7 separate regions of the Mus musculus genome follow, and regions 1, 2, 3, 5, 6 and 7 are each reported to be linked to region 4. The links are microRNA targets in miRTarBase. Many come from high-throughput screens and were not tested one by one. Region 4 holds a microRNA gene; each other region holds the end of a gene's coding sequence.

What was found. Region 4 holds the annotated microRNA mmu-miR-3064-5p (UCUGGCUGUUGUGGUGUGCAAA, at 2,750-2,771, shown strand). A microRNA usually pairs through its seed, bases 2 to 8, with sites in the 3' UTR of a target mRNA and lowers its output. Matches are read on the target gene's strand: a 7mer-m8 pairs with bases 2 to 8, a 7mer-A1 pairs with bases 2 to 7 and ends in A, and an 8mer does both.
Region 1: the mRNA of Ap5z1 is a reported target of mmu-miR-3064-5p. Seed matches in the 3' UTR shown: 7mer-m8 at 633-639.
Region 2: the mRNA of Lrch3 is a reported target of mmu-miR-3064-5p. Seed matches in the 3' UTR shown: 7mer-m8 at 1,260-1,266, 7mer-m8 at 2,112-2,118, 8mer at 2,258-2,265 and 7mer-m8 at 2,520-2,526.
Region 3: the mRNA of Abcd4 is a reported target of mmu-miR-3064-5p. Seed matches in the 3' UTR shown: 7mer-m8 at 822-828.
Region 5: the mRNA of Lypla1 is a reported target of mmu-miR-3064-5p. Seed matches in the 3' UTR shown: 7mer-m8 at 2,515-2,521.
Region 6: the mRNA of Aco1 is a reported target of mmu-miR-3064-5p. Seed matches in the 3' UTR shown: 7mer-m8 at 1,700-1,706.
Region 7: miRTarBase lists Dcp2 as a target of mmu-miR-3064-5p. The part of its 3' UTR that is shown has no 7-base or 8-base seed match.

What each region holds. Positions count from the first base shown.
Region 1 is chr5:142,477,273-142,481,338 of GRCm38, forward strand. It overlaps Ap5z1 (adaptor-related protein complex 5, zeta 1 subunit), which reads left to right. Exons shown (of 17, transcript NM_172725.2): 17 at 1-1,443. The coding sequence ends at 214. Among named protein-coding and RNA genes, the nearest start is that of Ap5z1, 15 kb to the left of the region's middle.
Region 2 is chr16:33,012,205-33,016,272 of GRCm38, forward strand. It overlaps Lrch3 (leucine-rich repeats and calponin homology (CH) domain containing 3), which reads left to right. Exons shown (of 21, transcript NM_001081255.1): 21 at 137-3,825. The coding sequence ends at 286. It overlaps Iqcg (IQ motif containing G), which reads right to left. Exons shown (of 11, transcript NM_178378.3): 11 at 2,066-4,068. Among named protein-coding and RNA genes, the nearest start is that of Iqcg, 42 kb to the right of the region's middle.
Region 3 is chr12:84,599,454-84,603,521 of GRCm38, reverse strand. Abcd4 (ATP-binding cassette, sub-family D (ALD), member 4) reads left to right here. Exons shown (of 19, transcript NM_008992.2): 18 at 113-228; 19 at 363-991. The coding sequence ends at 431. Among named protein-coding and RNA genes, the nearest start is that of Abcd4, 16 kb to the left of the region's middle.
Region 4 is chr11:106,781,439-106,785,506 of GRCm38, reverse strand. Mir3064 (microRNA 3064) reads left to right here and starts at 2,748; the gene lies at 2,748-2,814. Ddx5 (DEAD box helicase 5) reads left to right here. Exons shown (of 13, transcript NM_007840.3): 6 at 1-112; 7 at 211-371; 8 at 455-627; 9 at 983-1,093; 10 at 1,345-1,406; 11 at 1,489-1,548; 12 at 2,814-3,038; 13 at 3,251-4,068. The coding sequence ends at 3,657.
Region 5 is chr1:4,844,263-4,848,330 of GRCm38, reverse strand. Lypla1 (lysophospholipase 1) reads right to left here. Exons shown (of 9, transcript NM_008866.3): 9 at 1,596-3,368. The coding sequence ends at 3,315. Among named protein-coding and RNA genes, the nearest start is that of Tcea1, 11 kb to the left of the region's middle.
Region 6 is chr4:40,197,231-40,201,298 of GRCm38, forward strand. Aco1 (aconitase 1) reads left to right here. Exons shown (of 21, transcript NM_007386.2): 21 at 324-1,779. The coding sequence ends at 437. Among named protein-coding and RNA genes, the nearest start is that of Ddx58, 41 kb to the right of the region's middle.
Region 7 is chr18:44,417,019-44,421,081 of GRCm38, reverse strand. Dcp2 (decapping mRNA 2) reads right to left here. Exons shown (of 11, transcript NM_027490.1): 11 at 1-3,516. The coding sequence ends at 3,353. Among named protein-coding and RNA genes, the nearest start is that of Dcp2, 39 kb to the right of the region's middle.

The sequences.
Region 1 (4,066 bases), not on the chromosome of region 4:
TGTGCACAGTGAAGAGGGTGCGGAATCCATCCGGACCCGGGCCTCAGAGCTGCTAACCTTACTAAAGATGCCCAGTGTGGCCCAGTTTGTGTTCACACCTCCTGCAGGCGTGTGCCAGCCCCGCTACCACCGGGACACCAACGTGGCCCTGCCTCTGGCTCTGCGCACGGTCAGCCGGCTGGTGGAGAAGGAGGCTGGCCTCCTGCCAGGTTGAAGGGACAGTCACCACCTGAACAGTAGCTACAGCGTGAGAGCCTGGGCAGTCAGCAGTATTGGAGCTGAGCTGCAGGCGTGGGTGACTCGTGAGGCATGGTGGACATGACTGTCAGGATGGGATCACCAGCCCCTGGGGATGAGTCATCTCACCTTGTCTCTGTGGCTGGCCAGTCAGCCTTGAGCAGCCGGTAGGTGACTGAGTGTTACTTCCTAGGCCGAGCAGAAATGGCCTGGTCTGCTTGCTGCTGTTACTCATTTCTGGATTTGGGGGCAGGGAGCAGTGCAGGAAAAATAAACTAAAGAATTATTTATGCTGAGCAGTGGTGGCACATGCCTTTCATCTCAGCACTCAGGAGGTAGAGGCAGGTGGATTTCTGAGTTCAAGGCCAGCCTGGTCTACAGAGTGAGTTCCAGGACAGCCAGGACTACACAGAGAAACCCTGTCTCAAAAAACCAAAAGAGAATTCTTTAATATTACATGTATGTGCTTGCACACACCACAGTGCACACGAGATCAGGAGACAGCTTTTGCTACTCGGTTCTCTCCTCAGCCATGTGGGTCTTGGCTGGTTGCCTGGCTCAGTGACAAGCGCCTTTACCTACTGAGCCATTGTGCCTGCCACCAAGTAAATCTTCCAGTGCTGTGTACAGCCCAGGCCCCTCTCTCTGCCTTCCTTGGACTTGGAGAGCCAGGGAGCCTGGGCTGCTGCCTTCCCACCCTGCCCTCTGTTGAGGGAAATACCTGGGTCCCCTGATTGGCTCCTGTGTCCTTGATGTGACAGAAATGACATGCTCTGGAGCTGAAACTCACAAAGCCCTGAGTTTAATCCTGAGTGTAACCCCAGGCATGGGGTGCACACTGCAATCCCAGCACTCAGCAGGTGGAGTGAAGTTCGAGAAAGGTCAGAAGTTCAAGGTCAGCCTTGGCTAGGTAACAACTTGAAATGCAGCCTGGGCTACAAAAGAAATTGGGCCTAGAAGATGACTCAGCACATAAAAGGCCTTGCTAGATGCCCCTGATGACCCAGGGTTGACCCCTGGATCTCATGTGTAAGGCTGCGTACCATGGTGTGTATGTAGCTGTGAAGACAGCAGTTCAAAGCTCAAAGGCTTGCTACAGCAGTGGAAGAACGAGCTGGAAAGCAAGAACCAACTCTCAGAACGCACGCCATGCCTTGGTCACATAAGACATTTTAAAAGCTAAATAAAACTCAAGGTGTATTCATGAGGGCGCGGTGTCTTCTGGGTCCACATGCAGGTGGTGTTTGCCTAATTATGCTGCTTCCTAACTTAAGGATATGGAAGGCTAGACTTGGAGGACTTTTATGTGCTCCAGTGGTTCTGCACAGAGGCTTCCAGGTTTCATGGTGCTCAAGGGTGCAGGCTCCTGCCTGCTGAGAATTTTTGCAATTTTCCTGAGCCCTGGACAGATAGTTCTTCAGAACTACTCAGGCACTGACAGCACATGGCCACCAGATGGCGCCACCGCACCAGTTTATTGATGCGCACGCCTTTGGCCCCACCCACAACTCCATCCTTCACTTTGTTTCTGGGCTCTGTATTGGGGCTGGAGTTCCCTCAGGAAAAGTTGAATTTAGGCTCCGGCTGAGGTGTGCGGCTAAGTGGGGTGCACCTATCGAGGCCACGGGGTTACTAAAGCCCACGTGGGCCTCGTGTCCGGATTCACGTTCAGGGAGAGCTTTACTTGTTACCACTAGGCCTGTTGGGCCCGGGCCAAACTCCCTCCCCGAGCTGGGCCTGGACAGATGTGTTCAGGGAGTGCTATCTGTTCCTGTGAGGGCAGGAAGGACAGTGTCATTAGTGACTTAAAAAAAAAATTAGCCTTTTGCTTTATTCAGTGAGTGTTTTTGCCTGCATGCATGTCAGCGCGCCATGCGCATGTTTTGCATGCAGAGGTCAGAGAGCCTCAGACCCACTGGAACTGGAGTCGCAAGCTTGTGAGCCCCCATGTGCTGGGAATTGAACCCAGGTCCTCAGGAAGAACTCCTAGTGATCCTAACCACTGAGCCATCTCTGCAGCCCAGAACCTTGGCATCCTTCAGTCACAGGGTACATGGCTCCACCAGCACTGCACAGAAAGTTGATGAAGCCATGCCAGCTTGAACAAGGGCAGAGGTGTTTGAAGACACACTGCCCTCTTCTTGTTGAGCACCAGACAAAGCCAAGTGCCCACTCAGATGGCAGGGGCTGCCCTGGCCCCTCAGAGGGTCACATACGGTATTCAGCCACTCTTCCTACCTTCGTCTGGCTAGAGGCTTGGGCTCCAGGCTCCTAGGCCCCCGTGACGTTGGTGAAGCTTTTACACCTCCTCGGCTGTTATAATCACCTTTCATATGAATGCTTGACAACCCGTTTGCACACATGCCAAGGTTTTAATATGTGGTATGAATGTGTGTGTGTGTGTGTGTGTGTGTGTGCCTGCAATGGAGAGGCTGGGGGTTGGTGCGGAGTGGTTGGTTTCCTCAGTTGCTCTCCACCTAATTGGATTTTTTTCCTTATGTTCTCCTTGGGAAGGCAGAGCATGCGTGGAGCTAAGGACAGATTTCGAGTCTGTTCTGCCCTAGGGGTTGCTCTCACGTTGTCGGGCTCTGCAGCAAGTCCTCTTACCCAGTGATCCATCCCATCAATCTTATATTTTTAAAATAATTTTAGTTTTGAATGAAAATAGTTACTTTCATACAGTTTATTCTGATGAGTTTCCCCTCCCTCATCTCCTCCCAGATCCTCCCATCCCCCTGCCCTTCCAATTTCATATCTTTCTTAAGAAAACAAGCAAGCAAATAGAAAAGACGAACAAGGATTTAAAAAAATGAATAAAATGGGGGGGGGATACTTTTCAGAAAGTAGGAGAAACATACAAATGAGAAACACACACACACACAAGACTAGTAAGGGGGCAGGGGACCCAAACAAAGCAGTATGAGATCTCAAAACATCCCTGTTTTGAGATGTCTGTTAGCCATCTGCTGCTGAGTGTGGGGCCTACCTGTAAGTGGGGTTTGTTTACCCAATGAGGCTCCCTTGGAGAAACAGATTTTTTTCTTTGGTTGGGGATAGGAGCTGGAATCTACTTCCTCATCTCGGCACTGGGACCTGTGGGCTTGGATCTGTGCAAAGCCCACGAAAGCTGCCACGGCCTGTGAGCAAATGTGTGTGTCAGTCCTGTTGTGTCTGGAGGACAGTCTTAGGTGTCATTCATCCCCCCTGGCTTTTACACTCTTTCTGCCTCCTCTTCAGCAGTTTCCGGAGCCCTGAGGGGAGGAATTTGATGGAGACTCCAAGATCTGTCACACTCTGCATACTGGGCAATTGAAACCACTTTTTTTTTTTCAGATGCAGCTAGCATAGATTCAGGCATCTTCCTGTCAAACATACACATCAGCAATACACACAGCAGCAGCATACACACATACACCAGCAATACACATACACACCAGCAATACACACACAGCAGAAGCAGCATACACACACACACACCAGCACTGGGTCACAGGCAGTCAGCACTGGGCCTTTAAACGGATGATGAGACTGTCCCCTCATGCTTGGCATGCGTCACTGACCGAGCGCCTGTATTGTGCTCTTTTTATGAATGGCTAAATAATAAGAACCAAGAAGCCCTGCACAAAGCATCATGACCAAGTTGGCGAGGAAAGGGTTTATTCAGCTTACACTTCCACATTGCTGTTCATCACCCAAGGAAGTCAGGACTGGAACTCAAGCAGATCAGGAAGCAGGAGCTGATGCAGAGGTCATGGAGGGATGTTCCTTCCTTCCTTCCTTCCTTCCTTTTTCTTTCAAGATTTATTTATTATATGTAGTCCACTGTCAC
Region 2 (4,068 bases), not on the chromosome of region 4:
GGGTTTACCAGGGACTTTCCATAACTCACTTGATTATTATGGGGTGGGGGTGGAAGGACCTGTGTTCTTCAGTTCTGTGATGTTCATCCTGTTTTCTTTTTGTTTGTTTGTTTTATGTCACATTGTCCCCTTTCAGGAGCAATTGTGCTTGCCTCTGCACATTTTAGAAGAGAAAGGGTTGGGCCAGGTTGCAGTGACAGTCCAGGCCCTCCTGGAGCTTGCCCCACCCAAGCAGCCGCCACCGCAGCAGCCGCAGCAGCAGCAGCCACAGCTCTCTGCTGTCTGAGGACTCCCAGGGCCCTGCATGTTGGCACCATGATGGCACAGCCAAAACAAGGAGCAGGAAGACTTGATTGCTGGCACTGCCTGCTCAGGGCGAGCCCGGTGTGTTCCTAGAAGCACTGTCTTCATGATTCCTGCCAGGAATATTGTGTTCCTTTTCTCCATTTTAGGGGAGATTAAACCCGTTTCCACTATTTTTCGTTTTTAATGAAGACACAGTTTTTTTAAGTGGAACTTGGATTACTGAAGACCTATCATGGAAGACTAAGCTGGCTGTGCTTTCTTCATAGGGAGCAGGCTCGCTTTCCATGCCAGAGCCAGTATTTTCATAGTTGGATGGTAAGCTCTCTTAGAGGACAGACATATTATCTCTGCCAGTTCCCAGGTGTCTACAGCTCAATGGTTTCCACAACTGGACTTCATTCTCTGGAGCATTTGTGAAATCCAGATTTGCATCAAAGGTTGGGATGTGGCCGGAGAACCTGCATTTCTACAGACATTGTTTTTCTCAGGCAGTGGAGACCACTGTTTGAAGGCACACAGTTCTGTGGTTTGAGGGCACCACCCCTACTGCATTTTCAACCACATTTCAATCAAAAGCTGTATTATGATGACTTGGACTTTTCTGTCAAAGAGAGCAAAACCATGGAGAAGCCCTAGGTTCTGCTCAGTATAACAGGTAACTAAGGCCAGTACCCAGGCCCTTCCCCAGGCTTGCCCACCACCACCCCATCTTTTTCTAGACAGTGGTTCCTTGCTCACCCTGCTGTTTCCTGAACAGACACACTCCACACACAGTTGTAAGCTCTGAAGTGTAGCATGCACTGCCCAGCAATGTTTGCATTTGCCTTGGTGAACCCTGCGTTCTGATCCCAGGCTCCTGGACCAGGCACAGCAGACTCGGCTCCTGCTCCTGGGACTGAACACAAAGCTGAGAGGACTGAAGGAAAGACGGTTCTTACAGTCCATGCAGGTAACAGCCAGTTTCCATAGCTACAAGAAAGCACCGAGAACAGCTTCCTGTCTTTCACCTGTCCCCTCCCTAAGACCCTCCACTGTGAGCAGAGAACAGAAGGTCCAAGGGCTCCAGCACAGCGGAGGAGCCTTCATTTAAACACAGCACAGAGCCTTCTCTGCCCCAGAGTTTGGACTCTTTAGTTGTTGTATCTTTGGTGTTTGCTGCAGTTAGAACCCAAATACAGTAATTACATAAAGCTGTTTGTTCTATAGGGTTTTCCCTATAGTTGTTAACTTTTGTGGGTTTCTTCCCAAGGCTTGCATTTCAGAATAGTATTACCCTGCACAGCACCTAAAAGTAACTTTAAGACTGGACCAGGGTTCCATCCCCAGCATCACCTGAAAAAAGGTTCAGAGAGACGCGTGGCCTGGGATTCCCAACATCCCAAAAGTGGAAGCTGGAGGATCAGGATTTGAAGCCCACACCAGGCGATGCAAGCCACCGCCCACTGGGCTGTATTAGACTTTGGCTGGAGAGCTGGCTCAGTAGGTAAGAGCACTTACTGCTCTGGCAGGTCAGGGTTCAGTTTCCAACACCCACAAGTCGGTTCACAACTGCTTGTAACCCCAAGGGTCCACTGCACTCTACTGGCTTCTGCAGGTACCAGGCACATGCATGGTCTACATTTATACATGAAGGTAAAACACTCATGAATAAAAGTAAGTATTAAAAATATATATTCTTCCTCTGAAAGTGACTTTGAACCAAATCATTTTGAATATCTAGTCAAAATAATATTTCTCCTTGTTCGTGCAGAAAAGTATTCATTAGAACGCTGCCACTTTTATTCAAGTTTCAAAGCATGTAACAGCAGCCAGGCACGGTGGCTCATGCCTGTAACTCAGGCGACTAGAGCTCTCGAGAAAAAGTAAGTCTAACCTAGAGCATCGTAGTCCTCACAGAAGAGTAGAACCAGAGCTCAGAGCCTAGCCCGTTCACCAGCAGACCGCAGAGTGGCAGCCAGAGCTTGCCTATGACCAGCTGTGCTGCTGGACCGCAGATTTGCTTCCTCTAGGCAGCATTAAACCTCAGCATCATTTCTAAATTCCATATTTAATTGTACAGAAAATGGGCCCAGAAGACATTACATAATACAACACTTGGAATGGCTACAAGAGTTCCTAAAAGTTGACATTACCGAGCAGGGTGGCACATGCTTTTACTCCCAGCTTTTGAGTGACAGAGGAGACAGATCTTATTCACATATTGAGTTCCAGGACAGCCAGGGCTCCATAGTGAGACCCTCCCTCAGAAAGAGGAGGAGGACATTTTAACACTGCGGCTTTCCTGAGACCTTACTTAATGCACTTACCAAACTAATGCAACTCTGAAGGGTTAGGATACAGTTGCGCAGTGTGAGTCAGCACACAGCAGGTCAGTGCTTCTGTTGGGCCCTGTGGCTTCTTACAGGTTTCCAAATTGGAAAGGACAACTCATTTGGATATTTAACCTTGCTAGACCCCAGCGGGAAATAAAGATAAAGTTAGCCATGTCATAGTCCCCTGACCAGCAATGGCTACCTTGCCAATGGTAAGGTAGATGAGCCAAGTGTCTGCCTGGCTCTGCCCTGCCACCTGCAGAGATGTTATGTCAGCAGTCTGCAGGCTGCCAGGCACTCTGACCAGGATTCCCCTGTAATGAGCAGGTCTGATGAACTTTCCAGAGGAACTTTCCTATCTGCCTAGAACAGACTAGAAAAGGCAGAGCAGTGGGTGGCTTCCAATCCAGCAGCTCTGTAAATACATCCTTGCAACTAATGAAGGAGCCTGCTGTTTCTTTGCCTCTAGTCAGCAGTGACTAATAATGTGGTATGCTGACGAGTCTGATGGACTTTTAAGAACTAAGTACTTAGATGGTTGTAGAAATGAAGGAAAACTTGGTTATTTAGAAGCCTTTTTCATTGCAGTGAGATGGTTTACAGCAGATTTTATTTCTGAAGTGTTATAAACATGTAATTAATAAGTTTTTGTAAACATTGTCCTATATTTGTATGTTTGTAAATATTTGTGTAAGTTCTAAGTATAAATATGTCAGTACTGTGTATGTTATTTTAAATTGCCTGTATGTCATCTTATATGTGGACATTAAAAGCCAATATACTCCAGTAGCATGTAATAAACACTTTAAATTGTTCCAGCCTAAAGCATGGTTTTCTTGCCAGAGACCAGTCATGGAAAGGCCATTTATCTGGCTCACTGAACCTTTGAGGCTCACAGTCTCTTTCTTAAAGAGGTACAGATAGCAGGCTGGCCTGCGTAGGCAGTGGATGAGAAGGCTCCACTCAGGCTGGGGCTGGAGTACAGTCAGAAGTGTGCCTACTAGCATGCATGGAGTCCAAGTTCCATTCCCAACGCTGCATAAACCAGGTATGGTCACTCGCCCCTGTAGTTCTAGCACTTAGGAGGCACAACATGAGGTTCAAGGCCACTAGACTACGTAGTGAATTTGAAACCAACCTGGGCCACATGAGACCCTGCATCAAAAAGTTTAAATTTTATATTCATGAAATATGTGAGACACATTAAGGTAACATTTCTCTCAGGGGAAAAAAAAAAACCACAGTTGAGGGCCAATGAAATGGCTCAGCAGGAAAAGGGGCTTGCTGCCAAGTCCAATGACTTGAGTTTGATATCTGAGACCCAAATAGTACAAAGAGATACATTAGAAGGAAACAATTCTTGGAACCTGTCCTCTGACTCCACCCCCTGCACACTGTGGCATGCACACGTTTCCAAGCCTGGGCCCACATATACACTGGTTGGTTGGTT
Region 3 (4,068 bases), not on the chromosome of region 4:
CTTGGCGTGACTCTCCTGTCAGTCCACCACATCCCAGGGTGAATGGGTTGGAGGAGTGACAGAGAGGGCAAGGGCAGTCTGTGATCTCTCGCCACCACATGCTGCTCGTCAGTGCTCGATGAAGCCACCAGTGCCCTGACAGAGGAAGCAGAGAGTGAGCTCTACCGAATTGGTCAGCAACTGGGGATGACATTTATCAGCGTGGGACATCGTCCCAGCCTTGAGAAGGTACCCAGGCCACAGGGGTGGCCTGCTGAGGAGAAAGAACCCAAAGGCTGGGCCTGGGGGTGTCAGGTAGCAGAGGGATTGGGGTGACTGCTCTGGCAGCTGTCTGACCTCAGTGGGGTCCTGGGCTCTTGCAGTTTCACTCCTGGGTTCTGAGACTCCACGGAGGAGGAAGCTGGGAGCTGACTAGAATCAAACTGGAATGAAGGCAAGCATGCAGGTTCATCTGAGCAGCGGAGCTCCGGGGCCTGCGGTGCCCACAGACAAGGAAGCCCGATGAGCCGGGAAGGAGCCACAGATTCACCTGAGGTCCTACACAGGAGCCCTAGCAGCCTCTAGCCCTGCCCACGGGTGGCGCTACAGGGAACACTGAGTCTCCCCAGCGCTGCTCCCATGACTTCTTACTTCAGATGACGTTTGCTGCTGAAAAACGGAATGAACTGTAAGACGTGAAGGGCCAGGGTGAGAAAACTATCGGACTCAAGAACTGGTGATGCCGGGCGGCGGCGCACGCCTTTAATCCCAGCACTTGGGAGGCAGAGGCAGGCGGATTTCTGAGTTCGAAGCCAGCCTGGTCTACAGAGTGAGTTCCAGGACAGCCAGGGCTATACAGAGAAACCCTGTCTCGAAAAAAAAAAAAAAAAGAAAGAAAAAGAAAACTGGTGACATTTCACAATGATAGCCTTTTAAAAAAAACTTTAATAACCATTTAAAATTTATAACTTTTTAAAAAAGAATAAATATTAAAAATATGGTTTTTCTTCTACAATAGACTGATTTTTTTATTTAAAGATTTTTATTTATTTATTATATGTAAGTACACTGTAGCTGTCTTCAGAAACTTTTTTTTTTCTTTTCTCTCTGGTCCTGCTTGCTCTGGCCCAAAGATTTATTTATTTATTATATTACACTGTACACTGTAGCTGTCTTCAGACACACCAGAAGAGGGCATCAGATCCCAGGACAGATGGTTGTGAGCCATCATGCGGGTGCTGGGAATTGAACTCAGGAGCAGGGACTGCTCTCTCTCCAGCCCCTAGAGTGATCTTTTTTATAGCATCTCTACACTTGTCCTCTAGGGTTTGAGGCACACTCGTGCCCTATACCTGCTGTGCTTTTCCACTCAATCTGTGTCCCTCCTGTCCACCCAATGGCCTGGAGACAGCGGGTGTGGCCAGTGCCAAGACCACCGTCTCTTGGGATCCTCTGTCTTTATCTTTTGTTCGTCTGTTTCATTACTGCGGATTGAACCTAGGGCCTTATGAACCCTACGCGGCTGTGATACCACTGATACACATCTTTATTATCTAATTCAAGAAAATTATCCCTTCCCCCCTTACTAGCTAAAATAAGGTTGGTAGATGTCTTCTTTTGTTTTCCCCACCCCCACCCCAAAATCTGTATTAGGAACAAGAAAAAAAAAAAAAACTAAGCCAAGTACATACCTGTTGCCCCAAAGGAATGGTGGCAAAGACAGATGAATCATGAGTGTGACACTCTTCTGGGTTGCATGGTAAGACCCCTATAAATTAAGTAGCAGATTCCCAAAAGCATAAGATAAAGTTACTAATGCCAAAGATGTTTTCTTTTGTGATATTTCTATAGTGTGTGTGTTGTCACACTGCTGCGGGGTGGGACGTTTTTGTTTTTATTTATTTATCTTATTTTTATTTTTTTGTTTTGTTTTTCAAGACAGGGTTTTTCTGTTTAGCCCTGGTTATCCTGGAACTTGATCTGTAGACCTGGCTAGCCCTGAACTCAGAGATCTGCCTGCCTCTGTCTCCCAAGCTGAAATTAAAGGCGTGTGCCACCACCACCACCACCTAGCCACTTTAAAAAAAAAAAAAAAGAAGACAGTCTCACTGTATACCCTTGGCTAGTCTGGAATTCACTATTTAGACTAGGTTTAGACTTGAACTTAGAGATCTGCCTGCCTCTCCCCTGAGTGCAGGTATTAAAGGCTTGTGCCACCATGCCCAACCTAGATGGGACCTTTAAAAAAGAAGAGAAAAGAAAAGAAAAGAAAAGAAAAGAAAAGAAAAGAAAAGAAAAGAAAAAGATGTGTGTGTGTGTGTACACGTACAGGCACTAGTGCACTCATGTAGTTGACTGACAACTTTCAGGAGTCCATTCTCTCCTTTCCCAACCGAGTCCCTAGGATTGAACTTAGATGGTCAGGCTTGGACAGCAGGCATCTTTACCCATTGATCCATCTCCCTGACCCAGAGGTGGGCAGACTCTTAGGGGTGATTAGGTCCAGAGTGCTCTGCCCTCATGAATAGGCTGAGCCAGTCCCAGCGTGGAGGAGCTAACTGTAAAGGTGGATGGTTCCATTCTCCCTCCCTTCCCCGCCCCCCTCTCCCTCCCTCCCTCCTTCTATCTCCTGGATTCCTACCTGGTCACTTGTTGCCTTCTGCACCATGACCCATCGAGGAGCCTCTCGACAGATACAGCATTTTAATCTTAGCGTGCCCAGTTTGCCAGTCCTGGGACAAAAAGCAATCTGGGCGTGGTGGCCTGTGCCAGATCTCTGAGTTCAGGGCTAGCCAGGTCTACAGGAGACTGGGGCTGACCCATCAGGAGTCTCACATACTTAACTAATTTGGAGCCAGCGTGGGTTATATGAGATCTGGTCTCCTGAACACAAAACTAAAATTATAACTAGAGAAATCAGCAGGGCTGGAGAGATAGCTCAGTAGTTAAGAGCACTGACTGCTCTTCCAGAGGTCCTGAGTTTAATTGCCAGCAACCACATGGTGGCTCACAACCATCTGTAATGGGATCCAATGTACTCTTCTAGTGTGTGTCTGAAGACAGCTACAGTGTACTCACATAAAATAAATAAATAAATCTTTAAAAAAAAAATCAGCAAAACTGAGAACATATTCTAGGGGAAGGAACTTGGTGTGTGTCGTCTCCCAGGGTCTTCTTGGACCTTTGCCGGGCCTGCGAGGTGGTGTCATGGGTGATGAGTCCACCACACTTGGGGAAGTTGAAGGTAAGAGTCTACATGTATTAAACCCACGTTTGGGTCCACTCTGACTTTCTTCCCGTCTTCAGGAAATACTGTTTTCATGGAAGACTGTTACCCCCCTGAGTGTAGGCATAGGAATCCCCAGATGAGGTAGGACTCTGGCCTGGCTCAGAAGTCTGTTCCCTGCCTTGTCTGTCTGTCTGTCTTTCTTTTTTTTTTTTTTTTTTTTTTTTGGTTTTTTGAGACAGGGTTTCTCTGTGTAGCCCTGGCTGTCCTAGAACTCACTCTGTAGACCAGGCTGGCCTCAAACTCAGAAATCTGCCTGCCTCTGCCTCCCAAGTGCTGGGATTAAAGGTGTGTGCCACCATGCCCGGCCCTTTCTTTCTTTTAAAGATTTACTTGTTTATTTTATGTATGCAAGTACAGTGATTCTCTCAGACACACCAGAAGGGAGCATCAGATCCCATTACAGATGGTTGTGAGCCACCATGTGGTTTCAGGGAATTGAACTCAGGACCTTTGGAAGAGCAGTCAGTGCTCTTACCCGCTGAGCCATCTCTCTAGCCCATGCCTTGTCTTTCTTGATACCCTGCACCCTACCTACCCCTTCCCAGAGTCTTTCTCCTTTGACACACATGGAAATCATGGGCAGACTTTTCGCTGAACCGGAGCAATTTATGGGAAGACATGGGATATAGGTAAAAGAGACCCTTGAAGAAGAATGTGGACCTTTGAACATACTCTGTCTGTTCAGCTCAGTACCTGTCTTAATGATCTAACTCCTATGTCAGAGGCCAGAAGAGGACATCAGGTCCCCTGGAGCTGGAGTTACAGGCAATTACGAACCGCCTGATATGTGCTAGGAACTG
Region 4 (4,068 bases):
GCACAGCAGGTGCAGCAAGTGGCTGCTGAATATTGTCGAGCTTGTCGCTTGAAGTCTACTTGCATCTATGGTGGTGCTCCCAAAGGACCACAGATTCGTGATTTGGAAAGAGGTGTGTGACCATAAAGGGGGATCTTTGTCACTGATGGAGATGATGGTTTTGTGTATTATAGTTAAAGCATCTACTCCTTTTTATTTATTTAATTAAAGGTGTGGAAATCTGTATTGCAACACCTGGAAGACTGATTGACTTTTTAGAGTGTGGGAAAACCAATCTGAGAAGAACAACTTACCTTGTCCTTGATGAAGCTGATAGGATGCTTGATATGGGATTTGAACCCCAGATAAGGAAAATTGTGGATCAAATAAGAGTAAGTATCTTTATGTTATCATAAAAATCAGTTCTAGGAATGCTCTTAAGATTGAAGTGTAACTTGCTTCCTTAAATCTTCAGCCTGATAGGCAAACACTAATGTGGAGTGCAACTTGGCCAAAAGAAGTAAGACAGCTTGCTGAAGATTTCCTGAAAGACTATATTCATATCAATATTGGTGCACTGGAACTGAGTGCAAACCATAACATTCTTCAGATTGTGGATGTATGTCATGATGTCGAAAAGGATGAAAAGTGAGTTTACATTTTTACAAATTGAGAAAAATCTTACATAAACTAAGAGTAATCAATTCTGAAAATTGTCTCAAAATAAAATTAAGGTAGTGTGCTATATGTTCTTTTAAAAGTCCATTTGTTGGTGATATGGCTTGGTGTGATATGAAGAACTTGCTTGGCTTGCATGAGGAAAACACTCATAGTTTTTGAACCTAGTCACTACACAAGCACGCATAAAGTGATACACCTGAAAATCTGTATGTGTGGTGGCTTAGTGGGTTTGACATTTGGATTCACTAAGCAAAAAATCAGGGTTGTGTTTGGTTTTGTTTTTATATCCTTTTAAAAATGGTGAGTTTTTCTTCATCTTTAGGCTTATTCGTCTGATGGAAGAAATCATGAGTGAGAAGGAGAATAAAACTATTGTTTTTGTTGAAACCAAAAGAAGATGTGATGAACTTACCAGAAAAATGAGGAGAGATGGGTATGTGGTTTCCTGAGTCAAAGCAGACTTAAAAGTACTTTGATCTGGGGCTAGTGTTTTTTGGGAATCATGCGCTGTGATATAGGGGTAATTGTATGGATTCGTTCCAGTGACTTGTAGTAGGCTCTGGGTTGCAATGCTTAGTGGGAAAACACTTGGCCAAGATGAAGTACAGTGGGAATAGATATTGGTAGAGTCTTGACAAGAGTTTTAAGTTGGGTATACTACTGATAATTTAATTCTTGGTATAGGTGGCCTGCCATGGGCATCCATGGTGACAAGAGTCAGCAGGAACGTGACTGGGTTCTAAATGGTATGTATTTCAAATAAGATTAGTTTGTAGCTTGATAACATCATTTGCTTGCATTAATGATTATTCATGGTTGTCTTTATAGAATTCAAACATGGAAAAGCTCCTATTCTGATTGCTACCGATGTGGCCTCCAGAGGGCTAGGTTAGTACAAACTCGAATTCATGGCTTGGTTTCCCAGAAGATCTCCATGTAGTTTTTTTTAAAGAAAGTTTATTGCTTTCTTTAACCTGCATTTTTTCTAAGTTTTTTTCACATAAAGGTGCAGTCTTTGTGGCAAGGCCTAGGCATGACAATCGGAGGACTCGAGGGGGATGGAGGACTAGTGATCGGCTGGCTGCTTCCAGTCGATTAGAGAGGTGAAAAGCTGAAAGTGTGCCAGTAATCTTCAAAGGGCAGAACATACCACCTCTGCCCCATAAACTGTTCTCTCCGGGGGAAAAAAATGGAAGTTACCTCACAGTTCACTGCCGTGGTATTTCATCTGTCCCATGCTTTGCATGATTGCCATGGTACAGCATTGTTTCAAACTGTTCACTGTGATCTGTGGGTCTTTGAGTTTCAGTGAGTTTGCTGAAATGTCGAAGAAATATTTCCAAACTTCAATGTTCAATGAAATTTTTGTTCAAGTTTGAAATGGAGAGAGCAGCTTTAAAAGCCTTTTACAAATTGGTGAGTACTGGCACATGAGACCTAGAGCAGGACCAACTTCTCACACATAGTCAGTGGGAAAAGAAAGTGCCTTGAAAGTTCCTCCCTCACCTACACAGTAGTCGTCATGTCGAGACCTGCCAGAGAGAGACACATTCTCAAGTGAATCCTGGCTTCTTGGAAGCGCTTGCCTAGACGAGACACAGTGCATTAAAACAACTTTTGGGGGACAGGTATGTTTTTCTTGCAGCTGCAGTTGTAAGGTCTTGGCAAGACAAGCAGTGTGGCCAGAGTTTTGAACTTCTGATGAGTGTAATGCAAAGGACCTTTACATTTTTGTTAAAAGGTCCTCAAAAATGAGCACATGAAGAGATTGCTGAGAAACTTTTAATTGGCCCTACTGCGCAGAAGCATTCAGATGTCACTTGATGATCTGTAAGGGGACTGTCAATTTGGGAATGTGCTAAGGAGAACACACATTCCCTTGATAGGCTGTCAGTGGGTGGGTGTTAAGACAGCTGACATGTGCAAATTTTTTTGTTGTTTTTTGGGTGTTTTGGTTTTTTTTTTTTCCTACCCTGCCCTTTTTTCCTACCTCAATGGTGTTCCTACAGGAAATGGATAACCATTTTAACTGTATTTTTTTCAGCCCGTACCTTCTTGGGAATACAATTGTCTAACTTTTTATTTTTGGTCTGGCTGTTGTGGTGTGCAAAACTCCGTACATTGCTATTTTGCCACACTGCAACACCTTACAGATGTGGAAGATGTGAAATTTGTCATCAATTATGACTACCCTAACTCCTCAGAGGATTATATTCATCGAATTGGAAGAACTGCTCGCAGTACCAAAACAGGCACAGCATACACTTTCTTTACACCTAATAACATAAAGCAAGTGAGCGACCTTATCTCTGTGCTTCGGGAAGCTAATCAAGCAATTAATCCCAAGTTGCTTCAGTTGGTCGAAGACAGAGGTTCAGGTAAGGATCTTCGTAAGAGATGTTTCTGGTAGGTGGCAGTTACCTCTTGTCTACAAAGTGGGATCGGAAGAATGAGTACTTCTTATTTTGAAACCTAAAGAATCTAAAAGCACTTAAGACCCAACATAAATAGAGCTATCTAACTCTCTCCTATCTTACCACACTTATGCCACAGATAAAAATTGATCAATTTCCACTTACTTTCTTGACAGGTCGTTCCAGGGGTAGAGGAGGCATGAAGGACGATCGTCGTGACAGATACTCTGCAGGCAAAAGGGGTGGATTTAATACCTTTAGAGACAGGGAAAACTATGACAGAGGCTACTCTAATCTGCTTAAGAGAGATTTTGGGGCTAAAACTCAGAATGGTGTTTACAGTGCTGCAAATTACACCAATGGGAGCTTTGGAAGTAATTTTGTATCTGCTGGCATACAGACCAGTTTTAGGACTGGTAATCCAACAGGGACTTACCAGAACGGTTATGATAGCACTCAGCAATATGGAAGTAATGTTGCAAATATGCACAATGGTATGAACCAACAGGCATATGCATATCCTGCTACCGCAGCTGCTGCGCCTATGATTGGCTATCCCATGCCAACAGGGTATTCTCAATAAGACTTTAGAAGTATATGTAAATGTCTGTTTTTCATAATTGCTCTTTATATTGTGTGTTATCAGACAAGATAGTTATTTAAGAAACATGGGAAATGCAGAAATGACTGCAGTGCAGCAGTAATTATGGTGCACTTTTTTCGCTATTTAAGTTGGATATTTCTCTACATTCCTGAAACAATTTTTAGGTTTTTTTTGTACTAGAAAATGCAGGCAGTGTTTTCACAAAAGTAACTGTACAGTGATTTCAAATACAATAAATGAAGGCAATGCATGGCCTTCCAATAAAAGATATTTGAAGACTGAATTAAGTGAAATTGTACTTTATTTTACATATATAATGTCATGTACAACTTGGCTTAGATAGTGTTTTTGGGGGGGATTTTTGTTTTGGTGTTTATTTTTACACAAGGA
Region 5 (4,068 bases), not on the chromosome of region 4:
ACTCAACCACAGCTTGAAGCAGTGAAAGCAAACTGGGAGTGGAGCAAGGCTGTGAACTCTCATGGCCTGACCACAGTGATGTACTTCTTGCGGCTAGCCTGCCCCTCGATGTAACCTTCAGATAGCACCAGCAACTAGGGATGGAACCTCTGGGGGACAGTTCTTCTTCAAACCATCACAAAGTCTCCTACCTATATCAAAACCAGACAGGCAGAATCACAAAAGGGTAAGCTGTCAACTTCAAGTATTTAAAACCAGAAACAGAAACACATTTTTTTTTTTTTTTTTGGTTTTTCGAGGCAGGGTTTCTCTGTGTAGCCCTGGCTGTCCTGGAACTCACTATGTAGACCAGGCTGGCCTCAAAGTCAGAAATCCGCCTTCCCCTGCCTCCCGAGTGCTGGGATTAAAGGCGTGCGCCACCATGCCCGGCCAGAAACACTTTTTGACACAAAAGAATAAACCCCTGTAGTGGTAAAAGTTAGAACTTAATAAAATATGTAAGAGAAAAAATATTTGGATAACTGACATATGGTAGTTATTTAAAATTCCTAGTGATAACTACATTAAAGATGAAAACACCCAATAAAGTTTCTCAATAGTTTAAGAATTTTTAAATAGGTTATGAATTTTTTAGCAGATTAAAATTAAGTTAAAATACTTTTTTCTTCTCATGGCTAGTTCCATTCCAAGGTAATCATATCACACCAAATTTTCTCTCCCAATGCATTTTCTCATGATTGTATTATTATATCCTTCTTTCAATATAGAAGATCATTCCAAAGTAAGCCCAAATGTTACGACTTGACACTGGCTGTGCTGGTATACAACTATTATTTCAGGACTAGGGAGGAAGAGGCAGGAGGATTGAGGCTTTCAAGGCAAGATTGGGCTAGCTATAAGGAAGACTTTGCCTCAAAAAAAAACAAAACAAAACAAAAAAAAAACAAAACTTGGAAAAACATCAGGCCATGGAAACACCCATCTATAATATCAGCACTTGGGAGACAAAGGCAGGCAAGCCTGTGAGTTGTGGGCCAGCATGATTAGTTACTTCTCTGTTGCTGTGATACATCACCATGCCCAAGGCAACTTAGAAGAGGTAACTTAGGCAAGTTCCAGGCCAGCAGGGGCATGCAGTAAGATCCTGTCTTAATCAGGGTTTCTATTCCTGCACAAGCATCATGACCAGGAAGCAAGTTGGGGAGGAAAGGGTTTATTAAGCTTACACTTCCACACTGCTGTTTATCACCAAGGAAGTCAGGACTGGAACTCAAGCAGGTCAGGGAGCAGGAGCTAATGCAGAGGCCATGGAGGGATGTTCTTTACTGGCTTGCTTCCCCTGGCTTGCTCAGCCTGCTCTCTTATAGAACCAAGATTACCAGCCCAGATATGGTCCCACCCACAAGGGGCCTTTCCCCCTTGATCACTAATTGAGAAAATGCCTTACAGCTGGATCTCATGGAGGCATTTCCTCAACTGAAGCTCCTTTCTCTGTGATAACCCCAGGTGTATCAAGTTGACACAAAACTAGCCAGTACAGATCCTATCTATAAAAAAGAAAAGAAAAAAGAAACAGTACTATATAAAGCAATCGATAAAGCCAAAATTAAATTTTATTTCACATTGATAGAAACTGTGAAAAACATGACATTTTCCCACATTACAGCACACAGTCAATGGAATATTTCTTATACCAAATAAATCTTTACAGATAGAATAACTGAAGTAAATTTATGTTCTTTAAAGTAAAGCAAAATAGTAAATGATTGTTTGAAATTGTTTTAAATCCAGACATTTGGCTTCATTCTATCTAGGACATACCAAAATGATCTTCATATCAATTAGCACCTGTTTATAAAGGTGCTTCTTGGTTGGTTGGAAAACAGCAAGAAAAGCAACCGTTCAGAAATAACCATAATTTTTGCAACATATTCAACTGTGTGGTAACAGTTATAAATATGGGATATATATATAATGTTCTAACCAGTCCTTATATTAAATAATTTTCACCAGTATTTTGAACATGCTGATGATTTAAAATCAAATTATTATTTTAATATTTGTACAGGAGACTGATTATCAAAAGCTCCTTTACTTAAGATGAAAATTTCAAAATAATATGTTACCCAGATAAAAATAAAACATAAGTCTGATTGCTCATCTTGAACAGTATTTGGTTTTAAGCATAACATGTACAGAAAATGTAAACTTAAAATCGGCTATAAGATATTTAAGAAATTATATTTTGAAGCCAGTCACAAGTATTTCTAAATATGCCAAGATATTACTTCCCCTTTAAGTGTTTTACAGAAAAATAAAACCACAGATTTATTACCAGGACTGGAGAGTCTATAACTCTACAGTCTAAAGTTGGACTAAGGTGCAGTTATTTGAAATATATAAACTTAAGTAATGTTTGATTTCTTTTCATATTACCTAGGTTGGAAATACTGTATGTCTGTGTTTCGGTTTGTTTGTTTGTTTGTTTCCGAGACAGGGTTTCTCTGTGTAGCCCTGGCTGTCCTGGAACTCACTCTGTGGACCAGGCTATTGACAGAGATCCGCCTGCCTCTGCCTCCCGAGTGCTGGGATTAAAGGCATGCACCACCACGCCCGGCTATGTCTGTATCTCAAAATGTCAAAATAAAATATATGACAGAGAGGCAATATTAGTTTTCTACGGAAAATCAAAAAAGAACCTTGTTTTTTCTTGAGAAAAATTACATAGAAGGGAAAAAAAGCCTGGTCTCCCAATAGAAGGGCCATTAATTGAAGAATGCAGTATTACTTTTTGACACTCAAAAGCATTATCCCCATTATTAGGGATAATGTAATACCATCTGATTCTTAGCTATTATAGTATCATCTATGTGAATACAAACAGAAAAATACAGACACTGCATGGAGACTGAACAATTGTGGAGTAAAACTATAGTCTAACTCACAGAACTAAGAAGTCACTTACATCTTACCTGAACACATCTTCACAGAACATACTAGTAATTTTCAAATGATGTAATAAAACTGTTTGTTATCTTATTTTGCTGAATTTGAGACAAAGAATCTAGTTGCTTCACTTACCTACTGTAATACTTAGTATATTCTGAATTGTATAATACAAATATATGCATAGACACTTAAAAGGATCATATATTTCCCATGAGGGTAACATCATTTAGTCTGTATCATTGGTATGTATTTGCAAAACATTTTAACACTGCACACATTAGAAGTTCTATGGTCAGTCATGGGAAGAGGTTTATACTCTACTACTGTGATGCTGGTGAACTTCTACTCAAGGCCTCTTAGTGATGTCAATCAATTGGAGGTAGGAGCTTATCAATGAAGTGCTTGACATCCATCATTTCCTGTTTGGAAAAAATGATTTAATAAACAGCTACAGAAGTCAGAAAGTACATTTCCGAGAATGCCACTAATAAAATCCATGCAGGTGAGGATGTTTTACTACTACATAAAGGTAATGTAAGAAGGATGAGGCGCCAACAGAAAGTTCATAACATTTCTTTTCTTTTCTTTATTTTATTTTATTTTTTTGGTTTTTAGAGACAGGGTTTCTCTGTGTAGCTCTGGCTGTCCTGGAACTCACTCTGTAGACCAGACTGGCCTCGAACTCAAAAATCCACCTGCCTCTACCTCCCAAGTGCTGGGATTAAAGGCGTGCGCTACCACTGTCCGGTGTAACATTTCTTAGGATTATTATTGTACACCAAAACAAAAGCTCCCATATGATCTAGTTCCATGCACGTGCAAAGTCTGTGTTTTCAAATGCATAAATAAAACACTGGGGAATCAGGAAGTTCAGAATGATACTAACCTATACAGAGAACTTTTCAGTAATATCTACTTACTGACAACTGAATATCAGCAAAAAAGCTTTGCTTTCCCACTTCCTTATTAAAATGAAATGATAGATGCAGAGCTAATCTTTTTTGTATGTGTACCTTTCATCAAGAATTACATACAGCTATATATTTGAAAGAAAGTATGTGAGGCAGATCTTGAAAAAGATGACAGTAGCTTTCTCCTGGAAGCCTCCCACGTCTTAAT
Region 6 (4,068 bases), not on the chromosome of region 4:
GCTGCCCAGAGCATGTCCAGAAAAGACTTAGGGCAAAGCGTCACAGTGTCACTCATAGCTGCTGCCCTGAGAGGACACTTTGTTCTCATGTGCTACACCTGTGTCATTAATTCTGCAATGCTCCTCAACCTCTGGTGGGCACATAAATTCCCAGGGTTCTTGTTGGGTGCAGAGACCACTGGTTCCATCCGCTGCTGGCACTGTGGGCATATACCACGCCCCAACTGAGGCCAGTGGGCAGCCAAGCCAGGCGGAGTCTCCCTGAGGTGGGAGTCTCGGTTCAGCCCCGCCTTCAGCAGCGCTCTGCCTCTTTGCTCTTGCAGCTGGACACTGGGAAGACCTTCCAGGCCGTGATGAGGTTCGACACTGATGTGGAGCTCACGTACTTCCACAATGGAGGCATCCTGAACTACATGATCCGAAAGATGGCCCAGTAGGTGCTGACCTCTCAGGAGACCCGCACTTGGTGCTAGACCCAATGAGGAACCAGGCCCCCACTGGTGGAGGCCTGGCAGAGCAGCCACATCTACTTCTGATGAGGGTGCTGGCAGGATGAGCAAGTGGGCACTGCCATTCCTGGAGGCACAGAGCCAGGAGTCTCTAGTTTTGTGATTTGTTCATCTTTTTATCCCTTTCTGTAATCTGGATTCTAGAATCACGGGAAGGTCCGTAGTACCAAAGAGAACTCGCTTCTCTTTAAAGTCACGGACATTGATTTTTTTCCCTCTGACTAATCTTGAGCTCAGCACTAGCCAGTATTCTCAGAAGTGGCTCCTACCCTTTCTGTTGTTCTGTGTTTGTCTCTGCTCGGTGACACCCTTCCCTGGAGAGCCCAGTCCTCCGTGTATTACACCAGTGTTAACTGACATAGCATAGACCTTCTTCACACTTCAGATTCATAGCAGCGATGGGATCCCTTCCTTTGAAGTGAACAAGTCCTTGTAGATAGGTCACCCGTCAAAAGTGTTTGATTATCTACCTTTCAATCAACATGAGATTGCCTCTTACCATTTTCAACGATTGTTGACAGGGGTCCTTTGTTTGAAAATAACTGGGGAGAGATACGGGATTTCTAATTTGAATAAGATTAAATATATTTTCATGAAAACGTGTTGGCTTTGGAGTTGAGTTCTGTCGGGGGAATGTCGCGACACTGAGAGCCCCGGAAGTCCTTCGAGTCCTTCGAGTCTGCTGTTTGTACCCCTGCGTCTGAGCTGCGGGCACAGAGGGAACACTGTGGAGCCAGCGTGTGAGCAGCTAGTGTCAGCGCAAAGGACAAGAAAGCACCTTCTGTCTTGGTCACAGCAGCAGCAAAGAGCATATCGCAACTTCTTGGTGCCCTAAAATCTCTTCACTGATCTTCATAACTGGAATTATTTTAGGGTGTGCCTTATTCTGCTCAGGCTGCTGTAGCAAAATGCCTGAGTAAGAACCAGAACTGAGAACTGAGCTGTGAGTGACCCAAACCCTGAGCCTTGTCCAGACCACCCAGTGCCTGTGATGGAGTAAACATTCCGCTGGGGGAGGGGTTGCTTTGTCTCTCTTAACGTTTTATCTTTTCTTTCCTTCTTTTCTTTTTCTTTTTTTCTTTCTTTCTTTCTTCTTTTTTGTTGTTGATGTTGTTGTTGCTGTTGTTGTTTGGTTTTTTTCGAGACAGGGTTTCTCTGTATAGCCCTGGCTGTCCTGGAACTCACTCTGTCAGCCAGGCTGGCCTTGAACTCAGAAATCCACCTGCCTCTGCCTCCCAAGTGCTGGATTAAAGGTGTGCGCCACCACCGCTAGACTGTGTCTCTCTCTTTTTTTTTTTAACTAAAAAGTAAAAATTGTATTTACTTCGTACATGATTTTTTACTATGTAAACATCATGGAGTGGCTGAATTGAGCCTCACATTCTTACTTCTTGTGGTGAGAATACTTCCAAGAATATATTTTTCGAAGAATATAGGATGTATAGATTTCAACAGCAATCTCTGTGCTGTACTGCTTCTTCCTCCTGAATGAAATCCCACGTTCTTCCATGTTTTCACGTATGGCTTGTACTATTTTCTCCATTCATTTCATAGCTGACCCTTCACTGCCTCCTTAGCTATGACGTCCTCTCCGCCCCCGTAACTACTGCCGTGAACATTTAGACATAGTGAGATTGTGCTGTTGTCTTCCTTTTGTGCATGGCCTTTTTCATTTAACACAATGTCCATAAAGTTCATCCCTGTTGCCACAAGTAGTGTATCTGTGTGTACAGGCGTGTGCCCTTTGTTGTCTTTACTGATTCAGCCGTGGGTAGACAACCGGGCAGACGCTACCCTAGCTTTGTGAGTAGCACTGAGATGAATGATGCTGCAGGTGTTCCTCAACAGACTGGCTTGATGCCTTTGGGTGCATACCTAGAAGTGGAATTCCTGGGTCATAAGAGTGGCCTTTGTGACTTTCTGGAGGGCTCCATACTGTTTTCCTGTTACATGTACCTGTATATGACCTCCTACTGTGTGTGCATCCCCTCTCCCGTACTCTCAACAGTGCAAACCTTGATTTTTTTTGATATGGTTTTAACTATGGTTTTATATGCAACTCCCTGATGATTAGTGATGTTGAGTATATTTTCATGTATGTATCAATCACTTTTGTGACTTGTTTTGAAAAACGTCTGTTCAAGTCCATTGCCCATTTTTAATTGAGTTATTTCATTTTGTTGTTGAATTTTAATACCACCTATCCTAGATAGTAAGTATTTATCAACTATTTTCTCCTATTTTGTAGTCAGTCTTAACCCTTGACTATTTACACGGCTAGAAAACTTTTATTTGGAAGCAGTCTGGTGGGCCCGTTTTCCTTTTCGTTGCTGAAGACGTAACTATAAATAGCGCCATAGCATTTCTTGCATTTATCTAATCCTTTCTTGGAGTGAGGTCTTATGCTTAAGTCTTCAATCTGTTTTGAGTTGCTTTTCATATAGTGTGAGATAAGGGTCCAGCTTCGTTCCTTTGCATGTGGACATCCAGTTTTTCCAACAGCATTTATTGAAGACAGCTCTTCTCCATTCACTGGGTGTCTTGGCTTCCTTGTCAAGTCCTAGCCACGCCGGTGTAGGTCTACTTCTGCGGCCTCTGTTGTTTCCCATTGGGTTCTGCATCTCTTCTTAGGTTAGCAGAATGCTGTTTTCATTGCTGTGTCTTTGTAATATATTTTGAAGCTTGATAACGGTAATAATTTCAGTTTTGTTTTCCTTCTTGGCATATCTTTGGCTGTTGGGAATCTTGTGGATCTGTGTACATAGTAAGGAAGCTTTTGCTTTTTGGGAAAATACAGCATTGGGAATTTCCTAGGATTGCACGGCATCTGCAGATCATGGTGTTAGCGCAGACATGTTAATAACTTTAATTTTTTTTTGTATGGAATTTAATTTTCTTAAGCCCCCGTATGGCTCATTAGTTGTTCAGGAGCATAGTATTTACACATTTTTTGCACATCTCTAAAATGTCTCCTGTTACGGGTAGGTGAGGACTCACTTCCACGTGGCTGTGGATGTCCCTCTTGGCCCCTTGTATGCGCGGTGATGTTCTTTGGTGGAGTCTCCTGTCTGTCTAGTGGAGGTTTGGAGTTGTGATTGCAGTGAGCCTCAGGAGTCCAGTGATACCGCAGGCTGTTTTAAAAGCTGGGCGCACATATGAAAACTTGCTCTTCCTCCGACATTTTGTATTTTAAACACCATGCTTAACTTGTTTGTATACTGTGCACCTAATAACTCATGGTTGTGATTATCATTTTAATGGTGTTGTCTTTAAACCTTTAAAGTGGAAGTAAATGGTTGGAAGGTTTGCATCCCATCCAGTAGCGTTCTCGTTGGATCTGGACTTAGTTCCTTTCCCTGGGAGTTTTATGCTTTTGTGTCTTTCCTTGTTTCTAGTGTCGGCTTGAAGAACTGCCTGTGGTGGGGATGTTAGGATGGCTCCCTTGTCTTCTATTTGAGAAAGCCTTTATCCTCTCTTCAATTTTAAAGAACAGCTATGCCAGGAACGGGATTCTTGGCTGGCAGTTTTTAGGGGTGGGACTCTTGGATCTTGGCTTCCT
Region 7 (4,063 bases), not on the chromosome of region 4:
AACACTACATACACAAAGGTGAAGAATACCATTAGACCTGGGAGTGGTGTCCTTTGCTGATGGTCAATTCTAGTTATAACACGTTTGAACCTCTTTTCTCAATAATAATAATACACAATAACCCAACTCAAAAACAGAAGAAGTATTAATGAATACAACCATGAATAATAATACAAAGAAAATACTGCCTCAGAGAACATGGACACAACAGCTGTCATTAAAATCTCCAACATGGCACGCATAGACACAGCAAAGGCCAAGAGGCATTATGGGAATAAAACCTGTCCAGCCAGTTATCATTTCGAGGTCCCACTCTCTCCTTACTGTTGAACTAATGCTAGAGAAACAGGACTGGTAAGGAATTTGGTAATGAAATGTTTTTTAATGCACACAGGTGCCAGTCCTTGACATTTTTAGAAAACACAGTATTTTATAAAGGAATCTGATTCCTGTGGCCATTCTCTTAGATTTGTATTTTTATTGACATTACATGTAAATTATTAAAGCCTCCCAAAAAAAGCCTAGCCAAGTCTTACAGCATAATATTAATCTGCTATATAGCTAATTACTAATTAGTATTTAATATAAAAATAATGATATTCAAAGGTCAAAGCAGCAAGCAGTGACCACAATCCCTCTGACAGTTCTGGGCAACTATCTTTCACATATTGGTACAGAAATCTAGTTAGCTCTTTCAACATGGCTCACCAAGTTTTCCAAGCTATCCGATCTATTGGGTTTTCCAGCCCCTCCAAGTGCTCATGTCTCAGGATGGAATCTCTGTTTGAAATCCTAGAGTCATTCATTCACTATTTCTTAACAAAATCTTACAGAAAGTATGTAAACTGTATCCTTTGTCTCTTTGAGTACAATGGTTGAGGACAAAGTTATTAAACATTCTTCCAACCACTTAAGTTACACATAAAAGCACCTACAAACTTAGACTTAAAAAGATTCACAGTGCACTGCACCTCGGAACACATGCAGTTGGATCCTAAGGATGTTTAAAAGCGATTTTAAAGTCTCACCTCTCAAACACAAATAATAATAAGGCCGACGTATCTACTGTTCCCTCTAGAGTCTGTCTCTAAATGCGGCACTACACAGAAGCACATTACTGCATATTCAGAGTCCTCATCACTAGATCCTATGAAGAAACGCTAACATAGCTCAGAGAAGAAATCCCGTCCTGTGCTAAATATGGTCTCCCAGCTAAACTGTACAGTGAAGAAGTGTGTACGCTGGACTTACATTAACAAGAACACCAACTTAACATTTTCTGCATAGTTGAGTCACATCACACATACAAACCTTACTCTCTCAACATTTCAGCCTGTTGAGAGACCTAAAGCCTAAAGTTATTGTAAATGCACCCCAACCATGCCCTTGCTTTGTTCCACAGTGCATTAAATGAAGCAGCACATCACTGGTTGGTTCTTACAGTCAACCACTTTAAGGGCCATGGACCTTGTGCTAGCTAGTTGATTTTGCTCTAGTATGGAGAGCTGAGAATCCAACCTCTACAGGCACCAGGGACTGACTGAAGTGCTCACTTAAGAAGAATATCTCTCTCTCTCTCTCTCTCTCTCTCTCTCTCTCTCTCTCTCACACACACACACACACAATGGTTTCTTGGTGACAGTCAGGGAGTGACAGTGGCTCACTGCCAGGCAAGCTTCAGTTTTCACTCCCTTAACCATTTAACAGAAATCTGGAATGCTGGGACCAATTATAAATATGGCTCAAGAAGACCCAAGCAAAGCAGCTGTATTTCTGACAAGAACAGTAAGGGCTTCCAAACACAATCATATAATGCATTAAAAAGCAAAGGTCACAGAAGGATTCACAAAGTAGTCGCATAGAAGATTCCAAACATACTGTATCACTGTGAAGTCTCCTGCTTAGCACCGAGTGACACTTTCATGAATAAATATAATTTCTTCTTTAAAATCAGTCATTTAAAAGCTAAAGCAAAGTAGTAATACCAAGTGAATTCCTTACAATAATAGCCCTTCCTTTTAAGTCCCATGGGGTTAGGCAGAACCCCCAGTTAAATAGGCTACATATACAGCATAGAGATTTCTATAGTACTATTTATAAGCAGAGATATACTTTGTGGATACCACTTGTTAAAACCGCACACGACAGACGCACGTGTACACATGCACTCTAACAGCACAGTCCACCCCAGAAGAGATTCTCAGCGAGGTCAGGGGCAGCCAACATCATATTGCCTCCTTAAAGCTCTGGTGATTGTCCTCAACAACAGGCGATCTCTGCAAAGTGGGCACTGTCACCCGTGTTTGGTTTAAGAATTCTGAAGGAGCAAAATACAAAATACATTCCTACGTGTGATCTAAGTACATTACTTCAAGGGTCGGTCCCCTAGTGACATGCTGGACTTACTGGTAAACTGCAGATCCCCTTCTTTCTCACGTTGTAACTCAGGGGCTTCAAGATATTAATGAAAAGCATGTCAGTCTAGTATTACTGCAAACTGGAACCTAACATAATACCAGCTTACACAGATCAACGTTGAGATGCAATATAGAACTAAGAATGAAGTTTTCCACACAGACTCACAACTAGAATACGCATAGACGTTTCACACAGGCATAATCACGACACAATACTGAACGGACGGAGGCAGGAGAGTCAAGGCATGACCTGGAGTAACTGTCAGCTATTGCTTCCATGCTCTCTGCTCCAGCACTCACAGGTTTTTGACAGCAAACATCAGAGCTCAATATCCACAGCATCAGCTCCCCACTGACTCCATCTCTCTCCAGGCTGTGGATGTGGTCCTGATGAAGTGCTCGAGGTTCACTGTGCAGCTCCAGTTGGAAGGTTAGACTCTCAGTGGTTAGAGGCAGAGATGAGTAAACGCCTGCATCCTCACCTCACGGTTCAGCTCTGATGCCCAGTACATTGGTAACTGGGGTTTTAAGTTCCTTTAAGTTTTCAATAAGCAAGCTTTTTGCAATCACTAAGATGGGGAGGTGAAACACTCCTATTGACATGGCTACTTGCTGATGATGCAATCAAAACAACTCTTGATGAGAATATAAAACAAAACACAGTCACACAAAAATAAGGGAGAGACAAAAAAAAACACAGGCAACTAAAACTTGGTTCCAAACACTGAAATGGTAAATCCATATAAAAAGTTCTAAATGCATTTACAGTGCAAACTTGTGTTTCTTTCTAGTTTCTCGTCTGTACAGAACATCTCTTTAGAAACATGGCCTCCCTGCACTTCTTTCAGATACCTGAGAAAGGTAAGGCTTGAGGAGACAGCCACTCACACGCAACAGGTCTCAGATCGAGGGACTTCTGCAATACTCTTGCTGGCTCAAAGGTCCAAGATTTTCATTATAGCATTTTGGTCAAACTTGAAACTCAGAAAGGCTCTGGATGAAAATGGGAACTTGCAATGTCCGTTGCATGCCACAGAATGTCCCTCAGCATGTTCTACCGACGGCTCTTCACCAGAACAAGGCAGGTCACATGTGGCATCTGCTTAGGAAACAGAATTAGTAGACAATAACTCAGAAAGTTAACCAGAAATTGCCTTTCACGCACTCACATGTTTAAGTTAAGTCTTCCTGACTCGATCCTAAACACCTCACTTTAGGATTCAGTGGAATCGGTTACTGCTTATTTCTACTTATTTCTATTAATTCAGATATTTAGCCTACCTTTTAAGACCCCTGCTTTCGAAATGGGCATGTTTTTAGCACCTATATTTGTATTTTGTGCAACAGTAACCAAAGCTCCTTGGCAGAGGTTATTATAAAAATTACAATTTAAAAAAACTGTAAAGATTAGAAGTATAGGAAAATACAGTTGAAGTTATCAAATTTTAGTAGATTAAAACAGAAAACCTCAAAAGCTTTTTGACAACCAGTCTTAGCAATGCCTTTTAGATACAGTACCAAAAGTCAAAAGAAACATGTGAAAACACATCAATTCTAACTGCTAATGGTAAGCCCCATGTTTAGAAGACAAGCATAGCTTTCCATAGTAAGGTTAGAGCATCTTTGTTCATTTCTTACTCTTGTGT